Linked DNA regions of Drosophila melanogaster. The protein of the gene in region 1 interacts with the protein of each later gene in a pairwise test. Each region holds a gene or a part of one and is shown in the gene's direction. Other genes may lie near its edges.

Evidence for each region. Proteins that work in one complex are often made in the same cells at the same time.
Region 2: the proteins of Tim17b2 (region 1) and ksh interact in a two-hybrid assay, tested with the Drosophila melanogaster proteins (one large-scale study listed by BioGRID).
Region 3: the proteins of Tim17b2 (region 1) and CG15449 interact in a two-hybrid assay, tested with the Drosophila melanogaster proteins (one large-scale study listed by BioGRID).

The regions. Positions count from the first base shown.
Region 1 is NT_033779.5:15,481,489-15,487,646, forward strand, and holds Tim17b2 (translocase inner membrane 17), read left to right. Parts: upstream 1-3,240; 5' UTR 3,241-3,348; coding exon 3,349-3,879; 3' UTR 3,880-4,057; downstream 4,058-6,158.
Region 2 is NC_004354.4:19,492,345-19,496,940, reverse strand, and holds ksh (kish), read left to right. Parts: upstream 1-1,948; 5' UTR 1,949-2,038; coding exon 2,039-2,041; intron 2,042-2,104; coding exon 2,105-2,214; intron 2,215-2,289; coding exon 2,290-2,395; 3' UTR 2,396-2,521; downstream 2,522-4,596. Other genes in the region: CG12204 (uncharacterized protein), read left to right, coding at 2,562-3,533; ND-18 (NADH dehydrogenase (ubiquinone) 18 kDa subunit), read right to left, coding at 3,704-3,884, 3,944-4,264, 4,355-4,404.
Region 3 is NC_004354.4:21,037,439-21,042,579, reverse strand, and holds CG15449 (uncharacterized protein), read left to right. Parts: upstream 1-1,974; 5' UTR 1,975-2,141; coding exon 2,142-2,195; exon of another isoform or gene 2,196-2,420; coding exon 2,421-2,544; exon of another isoform or gene 2,545-2,565; intron 2,566-2,633; exon of another isoform or gene 2,634-2,646; coding exon 2,647-2,864; 3' UTR 2,865-3,066; downstream 3,067-5,141. Other genes in the region: Ntf-2 (nuclear transport factor-2), read right to left, coding at 3,721-3,834.

The DNA.
Region 1 (6,158 bases):
AGCTGATTAGGGGACATCGCGTGTGTCCTGCTTATTGGCCACACTAAACACTCTGTTTAGCCTATTACACGTGTCTCCTAAATGAAGTGTGTAAATATTATTTAACTCTGTTGCGGTGATTACGGACTACATAAAAAAAGGGAGAGTTTTTTGTCTGGTGAAATTTACTACAGGGGTTGAATGTGATTATTCACTAATGATTATAGTGATTTCCGCTTGGAAACGCTTCCGAAAAGGAGAGCCACCATTTTGTGCTTAACCGAATTATACTTTCTTCTACATATATATAAAAATAATAAAACATATCCCAATAAATTCATTTTGTTATTATTTTGATTAAGTTAATTACATATAGTTGAGTTAGGGAAAAATGGAATTATCAGACTAAGAAGTTTCTCATTCAACCAGTGGTTTTTTATATTACTTTATCCCTAAATATATGGGACATCTTATCTCCTTTGCCAGACGCCCACCACGTTATGCCAGGTCAGGCCGATGAAACAAACTCCCCTATTAACAAGATTTCCAACACCTTTTTGGCAGGACCTTAGATGCTCCTTGTGCAGAGCAAAAAAAAAAAAAAACCCGCACAAACACAAAGCAGACAAGGAGCCGTTAAGAAAAAATCATTGCACCGGGCGGACGGGTGAACGGACAACAACAATGCACCAAGGAAACCCAGAGGATATCGCATCTGCGCCTGCGGGCAGGCAGGAGCATTTTGAAATCAGGAATCAGCACAAATCGGTGCTGGAAATAATGTCAACTCGAGGGTGGCGCGTTGGTGGCTTGGCATTGACAGCTGCAGCTCAGCCCAGGATTCTTCTCCTTTGGCGCGTCTTCGTCTTGGGCCATCGGCTTGGGTTTTTCGTTTTCAGCTCTTGGGTTTTGGTTTTTGGCAAGATGTGCATCTGTTTGCCCTCAGCCCAAAAAATCGAGACTTGATTCGGACGTTGACTTGCATCTGCGGGCGTACAATGCTGAGTGCAGAGATGGGGAATTTGGCGAGTACACCAGGCAAAAAAGTATGGCAAAATTGCAAACAATTCTAGTTAATAAAAATGTTTGCATATCTAAGTATAGTATTTTTCTACAAATTGTAGTGTTAAGTAGTATTACTACTCCCATATATTATACACACGGAATAGGACACTTTAAAATGAGCTTAGCTAGGCTTATTAAATTTCTAGAAGATTTCTTAAGCTAAGATTTCAAATTCATTATACTTTTTTTTAAGTCAGTCGGTTCTACGAATTTTATTTTGTACTTAAAGCAAATACTGGTTTCTTAGAGTGCATTAAACTACCGCATTTATGATCGACATCGGAATACGAGTAATCACAGTCAGGGCACAGGACACAACAATAGTGCACCATTCGAGATTTTTCAGCATTTCTTTTTTTTTTTTGGCGGCAGGCCCGGGGTCCTACCTGAGTCACATCCTTTGTCGACTCAGGCCTGCCCTTTGATTTTGAATTTTTGAATTTCATTGCCCGGCTGGAGGCTGTCGGAATTTGAATTGGACTGCTGGGGTAATGCAACCGCAATTGTTTCGCCCCCTTTGTTCTGGCTGGCGTTTTGGCATGTGCAGGGATTCTCTTCGAGCGGGCAAATGAGTTCCGTTCTGGATTCCCTTTGTAGTGGGTTATGCAGATGCATATTCCTTAAGATATAACAAAATGTTGCATCACAGCTGCCCAAACACTGGCCTCTAACGGAGCATTCGGAGATCGGAAGATGGAAAACGGAACCGTTTTAGAGATCATATCTGTTCGATATTATAATTTTTGAGTTTTTACTGTTTACATAATCATTATTGTTTTAAAAAACATTGCCACAATAGATTACCAAACCTGCATTTCTGTAGCGTACATTGTGGAGCTCGATTTACAGTTGTAGAATGCTGTTCTTAAAATTTTGAATATGGTTTTAAATTGTTCTGTATCCAAAGACAACTGCAGTTTTTTTAATTTCACATAATACGTTGGTATTTTAACAACAAATAATGTTAATAAAATTACTAAATGGGCTAGTAGGCCAATTCCATTTGGCCTGTGACTTCCCAGAAAACTGTAAGGCTCGAATCTCCGGAATTCGTGGGAAACCCATGGTCGGATCGCGTCCTAGAACGGAATGGCCAATCCTTTCGCATAATGTGCCCACATTAACACCACATCGATCTAATCCCATCTAAATCATTTATAAGCGACAACAATTACCGTGGAAATGAAGATTTCATTGGAAATCCCGCAGCAGTGGCAAACAATATGCCCAGTATTTACATTTACAAATTATATATAATGTCTTATCCTGCAGCCATTTCCCGTCAAATGATCCCCGATAACCTTCTCGGGAGTGAGAGCAATCAATCGAGTGCAACACGTTCTAACGATTTACATGTCAAGTTGACGAGATTTGTCCTGTTGAACAATGGACTGGCGCTTCGTGTGTGTCCAGGTGTCCCCTCATACTTAAATGCCTGCCCATCGATTTCGGTTTCGATCGGGGTTTCGCTTTCATTTGTCACTGCTGTCTGACACCTTGTTATGCGGAGATATCCATCGAGGGCCCGAATGCGAAGACTTCCCCCTTTTTCGAGCTAAGCAAACACAGTTGCGGCAGTTTCAAAATTTCGATTATGCTCGCGTGATAATTATGCATGCAATCGTAAGCTTCCCTCCTGAAGTAGTTTGACATACGCAGTATAAAATAGTATTGGGTCTGGAGTTCTGGTTTGGTTCGGCTTGGCTTTATCGGTCGACGACAATCGGTCTCATTGTTTCCGTTTCCCACCGTCTGGCTTTGCCTTTGTACGAATTGCGTCTTTCGAATGGCCCCATCCCCATCCCAATCCGAATCCCAATCCCCCGTCCCCTCCCCATTCTCGAGCCGAAGTTGTCCAGCTGCGGCAGTAAATTTTATGGTTAACTACGGTCCGACATTTGTGCTATTTAACCTTTTTGTGCCATTGAGCTTCGGGGCAAAAGATCCCCGATCCACGTGCGACTCTGTTTGCTCTGACTCTGGTTCATATGCTAATGGGTGTCTGGTGGGGGCACAAACAAAACCAAGTACTTCTTACTTACAACCTGTAGTTTGAAATTTGAGTTCCTGGACATGTTCTCCATGATTTTAAATCTACTAGGTATGTAGCAAGCTTAGTCGCACAATTCACAACAAACTCTGGAATTGACAGACACAAAACTCATAATTTCCTTATACATATCGAGCGACGCCAAGTCACATATAACTCATTTGTAGAAAATAAGCAGAAGGCTTGAAATTTAGCAAATTCAGTTTTTAATTTCGGCCAGTGATAGGAAATCCTGCCAGTGGAAAAGTGCAAAGATGGAGGAGTATTCGCGGGAACCGTGTCCCCATCGCATCGTCGACGACTGCGGAGGAGCCTTTATCATGGGCTGCGTTGGAGGCGGGCTCTTCCAGGGACTCAAGGGATTCCGGAACGCACCACAGGGACTAGGACGCAGGGTCGCCGGCAGTGTGGCTGCCATCAAGACCAAATCTCCGGTGATAGGTGGAAGTTTCGCCGCCTGGGGTGCAGTGTTCAGCATTGTGGACTGCAGTCTGGTCCACTTTCGCCAAAAGGAGGATCCCTGGAACTCGATAGTGAGCGGAGCAGTTACTGGTGGAATTCTGGCCTCACGCAATGGAGCGGCGGCCATGGCTGGAAGTGCAATTATCGGTGGCGTACTGCTCTCAATGATCGAGGGCTTAGGCATATTTTTTACACGTTTCGCGGCGGAACAGTTCCGAAATCGTGAACCGCATATCATGCCTGATGCCAATGAAGGATACGGTGACTTCAACTCTTCCGGATTTGGATTTCCGGGTGCTCAGCAGGCCACTGCAACTAGCTAAATTCCGATTTTTCTTGTCTGGGTATATTAATACGTAGTCCTTTTTGATTTTCATAAGTGCTAGATTTAGCAATATTCCATTTGAAAAATTCGATGACAATAAAATATGGACAAAATTGCAGTATTTCCATTTAAGCTGTTTTTGCAAAGGAACCAATTTATTAAATTTCAAACAATTTAACACGGATTTATAATTATTAAAATACAATTAGCTGCCGTTTGCAGCTCGTTTTGGAAGAAGGAACAAATGCAATTGGCCCTCTTATCGTTCTCCGTGTTAATTCATTCGTATTCATAATCATTATTGCCTCAACAGGTAGTAGGTTGTTTCACACTTGCCCGAATCCACGACAAAGACACCTGACACGTGTCATAGGTCAGCGTGAGATATTGGCAAATGTTTACCTGTTCCAGATGACTACCTGCGATGCTGCGCCGGCGCATAGAGTCAAGTGTCCGGTCGGCGGGTGTGGCCACTTTACAACCTGTCCACTCGAGATGACCGCGGTGTTCTGGCCATTAGACTGAGTGAGGTACTGAGTGGCACTGGCTACCGGCCACATGTCCTGCTCCTAGCTGGAAAGTCTCGAGCGCACTCAAATCAGAACTTTTCCCCCGCAAGGCAAAAAACCAAAGGCAACGCCGATTTCCCAGCAACACATGGACGGTGGGAAGATGGGAAGTCGAGCCCAGTTATAAAATCGTGGGAAAACGCCGCCTACAAGGAAATCCCTTTTCGGCCGACATGGAAATTTCTTGAATAAATGGCCCAAAGAACATATGTAACTTTGGCTCGTGTGTTTTTTTTCCGCGAGCGCCGACTACTCGTAATGTGTGCGAGATTCCTCGCCTTGAGGAATTCCGCAACAAAACATTTGGACACGCCTGGCGCTACGGGAAAAGCACAGCAACATCATCATGTGGCCCGGCCAGGATGTGTGGGAACTGGAGAACTGGGGAATCCAAGGAGTCGCACCTACGCGCATAGTACGTGCTCCGGTCCGGCCAGCTCACACATGTGTAACCAGTACCGCCAGTCCTGTTTGTTTTCCCAGCTCCGCAGTTGGAGTTCCGACATATGTGAGCGGGCCAGGAGAACTCCCTCATGGGAAAACGGAGAGCCCAGCGAAGTCGAAGGTAGGACCAAGGTGAGAGAGACTGGCACATGGGACTTTGAAGGTACACAGCTATCACAGTTACACCGCAAAAAATGTCAACTAGTTTGGAAAACGGAAAATATATGTTGAACCTCTTCTATTTTAAATAATTAAGTATGTAAATGGTATGAAAGGGTATATTTAAATGGTTACGATGGGTTTTAACGATAATCGTATTTTACGAATTTTGAAGTATTTTGTTTAAAACAAACACCGTTTTGTTTAACACCGTTCAAAAATCCATTTTATGTCAATATTTTTCTAAGTGTAGATAAGGCACCAGGCCAAATAGTTCACACCTTCGCCTGGACAGGCTTGAGTTTGGTATTGAAAATGGGTCCGAAACGGGGCATGTGGCAAGCACATGTTTGGCGTTGACCAACAAAACACCTCAATGCGAGAAATCAACCCAAATGGAAGATTTTTCGCATGCTGCGCCCGCATGGCGCTAAACGCGAGCCATTTATCAGGGATGTTGAGGCTAATAGAAAATTCAAGAAATTTCACAGCGAAATATATTTAAAGGATAAAATCTTGGTTTGTGAAAACAAATTTAATAAAGCTGCCAATCTTAAAATCCCTAACGAACGAAATTTTAATATTCGTTTCCAGATATGAACAAGAATATTTTTCTGCGTGGCATATACCTTCAATTCATCTTGAGACCGACCGATGATAACAGATATGTTGATCTGATGCTAGCCTTGGCACATGTCAATGTCAATCGTTGAACCGCATTCAAATTGAGGCGAGGCGCATTAAAGGCATATTTCCGACTTTCTGGCACCTTTCAAGCTCTATGCATTAGAATATTTGCATTTCACTGGAGTGCCCGTTGAATTTGGTATTCCCAAAATCAGGCGCCAAAAATCTCATGCATATATGACACACATTTTAATTGGGACTGGGACAAGTCTGCAGGCAGACCAATGCATTTATTACGCGACTTGATTTTAGAATTCCTAAAAAGCTACTGCTAGGTGAATAAATTAGGCTCCAGCCCCCAGAAAACCTTGCCTGAGTTCACAACAAGTTCAAGGGTGCTACACAGCAAAATGTTGGAATTTAAAAATATATAACAATAAAATAACATATCAATAATTCATAACGATAAAATAAAAAT
Region 2 (4,596 bases), on another chromosome or scaffold:
GGCCATCGGCCAGCGAGAGAGAGCGAGGGAGATGGAGAAACCACAAAGAGAATCTTTCAGTGTACAGCGGAAAATTCACAAAACAATTGCGTAAATGCTCCTTCATTCATCAACATGATAATCAGCATGAAAAACAAAATATTGCTTGTTTACCGTTTACGAATCGAGGCACACGCAGCGATTACCGACTTTGCTGGAAGAGAAACCGATAACAATAAATGCACCCGATGAATACAGAAGGCAGAGTGGAGCGAAACTAAAAACAAAAATAAAGAGCGCACACTAGAGCGCGACTTTTTTGCATTGCATTGGTGTGTTATCGGTGTCGGTGGCCGCTCTGCGCATGTGCGTAGTGTTTTGGTGTTCGCGGGTGTAGGTCCATGGGTGAATGTGTCATGAAAGCACTGGAAGAGGATATAATAATGCAACTCACCTCCGGTTCGCAGCACTTTAAACCGTAGCACTTTAAAATTGGGGGTGGGGTTAAAAGAGCATATACTGTTTGTATTTTACACTTTTCACTCACGATTTACCGCCCCTCGAGTGGGGCACTCCGATAACTTTGGCGCGGATCTATGCGAGTGGCCGTCACTGTGCTGTTAGCAGCTAACAGTGCTGTAATCGCCGACGTCAACGATACACGCAAGTGCGTGTGTTTGGCGCGCGTGCGGGTGTGTGTGTGTACTTACATAAATACACATGCAAGGAACCGATTCGCGGATCATAGCTTAGCTTAATATTGCAGTCGGGAACTTACCGCTTTGCCAGTGCAGCGACTGGAAGTCATCGCTGCTGCTGCTGCCACAGAATGTTATTGTTTTTCTTGTTGCAGTTCCTGTTTGCCTCTCTGTTGCTCCGGCTGCTGTCTCGCTCGTGTTCCCTCTCTCTTACTCACTCGCACTTAACAACAAAACCCAGCGCGCTCGTCACACACACACTGTATTACTGATTTAAATACACACGCACACACACCGACAGGGGGGGCAATGAGAAAACGTATCCGATTATTATATATATGTACATGTATATCTAAATATACTTTTGATTTTTATGAGCGCGCTCAGTTACAATTGCATTGGCAGCACCATCGTATTCACAGACGTACACGCACACACATTGGGGATGCACTCGGTCGGGATTCTCCGCTCCTGCTCCCCTCCTTCATCCCCTCGCGATACCAAGTGGAAAACGAAAACGGGCCACAAAAATGAAGAAAAGAGCCAAGGAAAACGCAAAAGCACGGGCGGACTTAAAGCCAAATCGAACGATTTACTGACGCTCGCCGAGAATTGGCCAAAGCTCACCAATCGGAACAGCAAGACACTGATTTGCCAAGCGGGCGATCGAAATTGATCGGATTATATGTAACAACAAACACAAAAAAAATACCCGCAGCGAATTAGAAGTTGCAGACAAATTGCTAGAGGTGGCCCACTGCGTCGATGTTTATGCGATACTATGTGCGATAAGTGTGGACCCATCGATTGCTGTTCCGCGCCAGTCGATTGAATTCACTTGACCTAATAGCCCGATTCCATTGGCACATATTTCAATTGGGGGAAGCTCCACTGCCAACGTTAATTGAAACAAAGTCTTATCTTATTTCATTTACTTGACCCACGGTTGGATTGCAATACAAGTTCCGATACTATCGAAATTAAGCTTACGTTTTTTTGTATACGATGTCTTTTGTAAACTCTTGCACTTTTCAATACTTCCTATGGCGTTTTTATGCTCCCTGTGGGAACTTGGCTAAGAGCTTGTTACTTTCTATTGTAAAATATTTATCCAATGTCCATCCCAGATAATGGAAGTAGGTCGCCAAAATATGTATTTAATATAAATATATTCTTATATTAACTCCTAAACATTGTAACATTCCTTATCATTCTAACAGTTGATTAACCACCTATCGAATCAGTCGAAACGTGAGATTCCAGTTTTGGAACCAGTTCGCCTGCGCCGAGCGGCTGGCACGTCACTAGTTTACCGCTTGTTGTTATTCTATCGCCAAGCACGGATTTCGATTTGCTAAATCATGGTTTGAAACGCTCACCTAACCGATACTCCTCCGTCGTACACTTAGCACCGTTTCCCTCCACAGAGCGCCCTGTTCAACTTCCACAGCCTGCTGTCGGTCATCCTGCTGCTGATCTGCACCTGTGCCTACCTGCGCTCGCTCTTCCCCAGCTTGATAGACCGCAACAAGACCGGGTAGGTGCCCGTTCCCGCCCTGACCAGTCCACTGATTGTTACCACACTCAACACTCGTCTGCTGTCTGTTTGCAGATTCATGGGCACCTTCTGGAAGCTGGCAAGGATTGGGGAGCGCAAGTCGCCGTGGGTAGGAGCCGCCTGCCTGATCATGGCCTTCACCGTTCTCTTTTGGAGCTGAGCTCCTGCATCCCGCATCCCCTCCAGGAGCCGAATGGCACCATAGATTAGATATTCCAAACTTTCTAGGACTGTAAATACACGCTGCGTTCTGCAGCACTGGCCGCACATTTCGGGCTTTCCCAACACTTGCTGTTCTGTTCTGTTCTGTTTCGCGCTGGCTAAAAATGTCTGGCGAAGATGTGGACGAGAAGCGAGAACAGCTGCGTCTTTTTGTGACAGCCAGCAGGAGGCGTCTCCACGTCATCCTGCAGCGCTTCGGTTGGAGCGAGCGCGGGGTGATGGGGGCGGGTAGCCACAGACCACAGGACAAAAACGGCGCAACTAAATCGGAGGTGTTAGAGCCATTGCCATTGCCGGCGTCATGCAGCAACAATCCCGACTTTAGCATCCAGCTCGATGACTCGACTATTCAGGGCATTGTGGGCACCGAAAGAGCACGACGCCTCCTTCCTGCTGCCTCCTTTGATGATCTGCAGGCAGGACTCGACGCGAGTCAGCGGCTGCTCATCTACGAGCACGTTCTAAAGCACACCAAGAAGCACCCGCAGTTCCAGGACAACACCGCCTTCGCCGAGGTGGTGGGCGAAACCCGGCGTCAGCAAAAGAATCATCGGCGCCACCGCAAGAGCAAGCCCACGCTCAACGAGGAGCTGCACCAGCTAGTCAGCCTGCAGATGCAGGCGCTGGAGAAGCAGTGGGAACAGGAGCACGGCGGGCGGCATCATAAGCAAGTCGACCGACAGGAGCACCGCGGACGGTATGTTGAGCAATCCCAGCAAAGGACGCAAACGGAGCGGCAACAGGATCACAAGGGACGACGCGATAAGCCAGCGGAGCGGTTTCAGGAGCACCAATGGCGGCACAACGAGCAAACGCAGCACAGGCAGCGGTACCAGGAGGACAGAGGGCGGCATAACGACCAAATGGATCGTTTTAAGGAGCACAAGGACCGAGGACAGCGACAAGAGCATCGGGACTGGCGCAACGAGCGCAGAGATTGGTACCAGCATCATGATGACAGCCGGAAGAGAAGCCGCAGTCCGAGCAGGCATCGACATGGCGATAGGCGTCGGGAGGAGCGAGAGCCACGCGAGAAGCAGCACAATAGGCATCGCTCCCAAACCGCTCGTCATTAGAGCGGCATGTGATGGTGCCGCTTCCATTGGCAGCGAAACTGGTGGCCATTACATGGTGCTGTGGTCATTTGAGTCCAGCCGACTGTTTATTTGGGTACTCAGATAATGAACAAAGCAAAAAAAAAATCAGATAATTGTGGTCTATAATCCTGGCTAGCTGCGGGGAGCGTCTACTTGGTGGAGACGCGCGTGCGCTTGTTCCAGGCAAAGTTGATGCCGTAGTTCTTGACGCGCTCCTTCTTGGGCTTCGCGGCGCCGTCGACGTACCAGCGCCATCCGTTCCGTTCGCAGAACGTGATGGCCTCCTCTGGGGATCCGAACTGCACGTTCATGTTGGACAATGGGTCGCCGCTGGAACACGAGACGTTGACCAAGGTTGCCATGGCATGGTGGACGTGCCAGCTACTCACCTGGAGGCCCAGCCCATGAGCGGATTCTCCCAGCGCTCGCGGTTGTCGAACTCGATTTGCCAGGTGTTCACGTTATCGGTGCCGCTCTGCATTGCGTTCTTGGGCGGAATATGGATGCGCACACGGCGCTCCCGAATGTGCTCCTCCGGAACGCCGCTGATCGGGCTGAGATTGACGGCAGTCGGCACGGTGATCTTGCCACTCAGCTTGTTGCGCTGCTCCAGCTCTTCGGGGCGGGCCAGGGCCGTCTTGGGGTCCAGCGGACCGCCGTCCGTGGCGGTGGATGCCCAGCGGGCAGCGGCTGCCCTGTTGGCCTGGTACCTGCGGTGTCAAGATGCGAAAGTGGATAATTAGAGGGCTGCAGATTTGCCAGGTCGGATGCACTTGCTCCGGCCAGGCGGGGGTACCTACAGCTGCAGGGAGGCGGTGCTTCTGCACATCACTTGGCGGAGGGCCGACATTTCGCTAGGCGTTTGGGGCTACACGGCAGAAATCGGCTTCAAAATACGAATTACGTAAAATTTGGAACACAAGCGCTTTTCGATTGGGAAAACAGCTGTTCGCCAGTGCCAGTGTGACCAGGCGAGCGGTGAGTGTTTTTATTCTAATTGGAAACAGTGTGGCCCCTCGCCTTGGATGCGATGCCACAATAG
Region 3 (5,141 bases), on another chromosome or scaffold:
ACCATCCCAGGTAGCATCGGAACACCTGGTTCTCCAGCGACATGAGTTCGGGGTTAAGCATTTTGATAGCTGCAGGTGCACTTGCATACTGACATCGGTTGCAATCGGGTTGGGTTTGAAAACAGAAGCAGTTGATACCTTGTAGGTTGGGTATATCGATTTGAGTGAATCTTGTTCTTTAAATTCCGATTTTGTTTCGGGTTTTATGATTGATTATATAGATTAGGTAGTTCGGAAAATGTTTTCTTCTATTTAATTTGAATTTATCAACATGCTGAATAATTTTTCTTGTATTCTCTTACAATGCATTATTTTCGGAGTTCTATATTTCAGTGAAAGTTGTACCTGAAAAATTCTTAGTCTTGTAACCATGTAGCTCGGTGGGGTATCATTTTCGATCATAGTTCGCAACTAGTATAACTAGTTTTGCTGTCACTGTAAAGTGCTGGCGATTAACTTTTAATAGAACTACAATAGCATGGGAATTGCTGCTAATTACCGTAAAATTGCTGAAACAAAAAGCTTGCCAAAGCTCAATTGGATTTCGTTCTGGTAGTAAGGTCTTGAAAAATGCATTTTCAAAATTGAAACAGAAAATACGGATTAATCAAAACATTGAAGCGATAAGAAGGTCTAAATATAGTTTCAATGCGCACCTGTGTCTGCGTTGAATCATATCAAAAGTTGCCTTCAAACTGATAAGCTGGGCTTTTGATAATAAATAATCGTATATGTACTTCTGCTTGCTACCAGCCGAAATTATTCTAAAAACATATATTTATTTTAATGGTTAGGTTTTGAAATTAATAAAGCAGTTGATGTTAAGTTAAGATAAATAGGTTCAACATGTGGCATAAACACTCTATAGAGAACTAATTTAAAAATTAAAAATAGATTTGTTCAGCTGTAACAACTTATTTTGCATGTTTTCAAATTGACCATAGAACACAGGAAGTGTTATTGTTTTAGTCAGGAACAAAGTATATATTACTTAGATATATATTTTTAGTCAGAATTGACACCCAACTAAATCTTACCGTGTCTGTTTATTTCCACGTAATCGTATTTACTTAAACTATTAAACCTATTGCAGGTATTAGATAAGGCAATAACAGGCCGGGTCGGAAATGTAATTACTAATCTAATTTTATATAAACTATATAATTTAGCTGAACTAGGAGCGAGCGGAATGGGATTTGCAGTTTAACGTTCGTAAAAAATACAGGAAAAATAAATAGAAATAAAATACATTTTATTAAAACAGGACGACTGTAGTCGTCCAAGCTAGTGGTAGCTAAGTTACTATAGGTGAAGGGTATATAAAATTCGGCTTACTTTTTATGTTGCTCTAAGCTTTTAATTGCACTTAAAAAGTACAGTACTTGTAATATATTAAAAAATATATTCCATGCATTACAAATCCACTTTTATATCTGAAAAGCGTTGCAACACAACCTTACAACCTAATAATTCCCATGAAGTCCATAAGATTATTCATGATTTGAGGAAGTGATTTCCCCGGCGATATGTTTTCCATTATCCACTTGATTACCATCGGAAAATTGGCGACCCGTTGGCCCCGATTCCGCGAATTAGCTCCGATCTTGGGCCCCGAAGGTTAGGCAGCAAATTTGGGGTAATGGCAATGCGAGCACAATGAGTCCGAGTCCATTGGGCGGCTGCCCACTGTCCACTGGCCACCCACCGGCACAGAGCATGCATGCAGATACAGACATTATGCTCCACTCAATCAAGCTGGAAGGGATGGGGCTCGAGTGCAGCTGGCAGCGGAGAACGCAGACGGTCTCCACTTCAGAGATGGAACCGAGAGGCCCGGCGGACGTGGTGGACGTGGGCGGATACACAGGGATGGGAACAAGAATGAAAAGCCTATTTCCTAAGTGTAATTAATTAATTTCGCTGGCTGGGCCCGACTGCGCCCAACTGCAAACTGCAGCCGCATTTGCCTGCCATCCGTCATCCATTTCCGAATCAGAATCAGTTTGTCCAGCGCTCTGCCGTCGCGAGCACGCTCCAAAGAGGCCAATCGGAAGAACTTTGGAACTTTCTTGAGTTGCGACACGTACATTTTCAAGCTGGACCACATTTTCGAGGACTGTCAGCGGCAGCAGTTTCACAAAATGTCTCATGGCGAGCGAAAAGGCCGCCTCAATGTGGTCAAGTTTCTCGAACTGGTAAAGGATTTTTTTTTCAAGTGATTTTACTGCAAGTTCTAAGGATTAATGAATTAATGCAAAAAGCAACGCGTATGCTTACTAAACAATGGTTTGTCAAAAAAAAAAAAAAAAAAAAAAAAAACGACTTGGGAATTAAAAGAAAAGACCCGAAATACCAGATAGACTCGGAAATTATAAGAACACCAAGAAGCACCACAAATGAAAATCCCCTCACTTTTCCAGGGTTTTGCGGTAGCGTGTCTGGTGCTCCACTTCTACAGCTTCAACGATCGCGATATAATGACTTCGTTCCTGGCCACTGGCACCTTCACGGGCTACATCATAGTGGTCATCGGGGTCTTTGCAGGTACGCCTTGGAATGCCAGTCCTTAAGAGTTAAAATACTAAAATAAGTTAACCAAAAACGAAATTTGCACACAAATCTACTTAAGATACCTTGCAATTGCAGGCGTTCTGATGCGGGCACCCATTCACAAGCGCATCGATATATTCTTCAGCGTCCTGGGCTGCACCTTGTTCGTGGCCAGCGGTGTGTTCATCATTGAGGCCTGGGAGTTCTCCTTCCGCACCCGAACTCGGGATCTCGCGCTCATCAAGGCCTCGCTGTCCATCGTCAATGGGGTGCTATTCGGATTCGATGCGGTGTTCACATTTCGCGACAAGTGAATCGTTCAGTTTTTAGACGGAAACCACTGGCCAGATCCGCTGGAGCTTCTTTCGTATGCATTTAATAGCTTATAAGGGTATACATATCTTTCCGGTTCAACTGGCCATTCCGCCAATCATACAAACAACCAAACTGTTAACGTTTATCTTTATATTTAAGTGTTTTTTTTTTCTCTCAATAAAAAGTAATTCGCCATCGCTCAATTAGTCATATGAGAAAGCAAGAGTCGATACTTGCGACTGTGTGTGGTGCAGTCCCGGTACTCAAGTAATTGTTTACAGAGCGAGACACTCGACACAATACATTTGCAATACGGCTATCTAAAATAATCCTCATAATTAAAGTACAAATAATTCAATTGGAAATATAAACGGTCTAGAAAATCACTCTAAACTTATGTAGGCGATGATCCCGGCCTGCTGTTCCTGCTCATTTCACGGGAATTCGAAATACGAGCTTGTAGCACGGCACATACCACCAAATTCGATAGTCCTAGCTAAATTAGATCGCGAGATCCAGGTGTTCGCAGAACATATAATTCTAGGGTTCCGTGGATCGTAAAGCGAGAGTACCGGCAACAATGGGACACAAATGAAGGTGAGCTGGCGGCCCATTTTGTTGACATCGTAATAGTAGTTAGCGTTATTTTCTTATTTTTTTATTGTTTTTTTTTTTTTTTTCTTTTTCTAACTTTTGTATTTGCTGATAATCGTGAGACCGCTGGCTGGCTTTGTTATATTTTTTTTTTCTGAGTTCCACTGCCGAGCTTGTTGTTATCATCTGGCGCTGGGCATCTTTGGATGTCGATTATGTGTGGTGCTGAGTGGTGTGCATACGTAGGTAAGTGGAGTGCTCCTAGGCAGAGTTGTGGATGTTGAGACGGAAGATGTCGTGGGCCACAAAGAAGGTGCCTGCGTTGGCCTTCAGGAAAAAGACCTGCGAGAAGGCATGTGGGGGATCGTCATCGCACTGCAAAGGAATGAAATCATAAATACGTTAGCAGATGCCAGGCAAACCAGTCACATTTAAAGTCAATAACACAAGCGTGCGAAAAACCAATTTCAACGTATTGAGTTAGATATGAATGGAGTACACACAGTTTGAAGCCAGGGTCAGAGGGAAAGGGTGTACAACTGGCAGCCGATTGATCGTGTAAGGTGCGTGTTTACTGTACAGGGCTCGCTCGATAAATTGAACATAACTCCAAAACATTTTCACGAGCAGAATAAACTTTATACCAAATGTGCGAGCAAAATTATTATTCACTGATATAAGAACTTCTCAAAACTTTCCTCAGTTCCATTCAAAATTGAACAACATTTGAAAGTTTTTTTTTTAAGGCATATTAGGGTGCGCTTAACAATTTGGGATATTTACAGTTCTCTTCTTCGAGCTATTGAACAAAACAATATGCAAGTTAAGACTAGTCAATTGGTATTTGGTTTTGTAACAAATGAAAAACAGAATTTTTATAAGTGCAATATCAATTGAAAGCATCTAAAAATATAATATAAATATAAACCGTTTAGTTAAAAATGTAAAGCAATAGAGGTTACAGAAATTGTTTGTGTTACATTAAAATTGCATTATTAGGAGGTTCCAGGTCCCCAGCGACCAACCGAAAGAAAGAGCAAATCCAACTCAAAATCAACGAAAACCATGCACGAAATGAAATGCGCAACATTTTGATTTGATTAATTTTCGTTGGACATTCACGTACTGTGAGAATAATTAGAAGAAATTGGACGACGACGAGACGCCAAGGATAAATATTTTTGTATATGTGGGCGGAGTGGGCATGGCTGGGCGGCATAAGGTCGACAAGCAGCAGAACTATCTTATCGCTTAGATATGGATTTCTTTCGTTTTTTAACTGGCTCTCGTCTCGTGTCTGCTGGCTGATCGTTTGGCTGCTGATCTCGATCTCGATTTACACACATATAGCCGGGCGCTGGAGTCTGTGGACTGGGCGTGGCAGGTCGGGCTCGCTGGTGCTACACATCGTGCAGCGAGAGTCGGAATATATCGTGCTGCACAAAGAAACTGCCGCCCACCGGCTTCAATACGAAGGTCTGAATATAGGCATGCGGCTGATCCTCGTCGGTCTGCATTGGTTTGTTTTGGCATTTGTGTTTCGTTTTGTAATAACCAGAATTGAGATATTCGATTCAGATTCAGGTGACTTATATGGAATAATAGATGCAGCGGCGGTCGGCAAATAGCACTGCCCTTACGACTTTACGGAAGAATGATGAATGATTTCATATCTTAAGTGA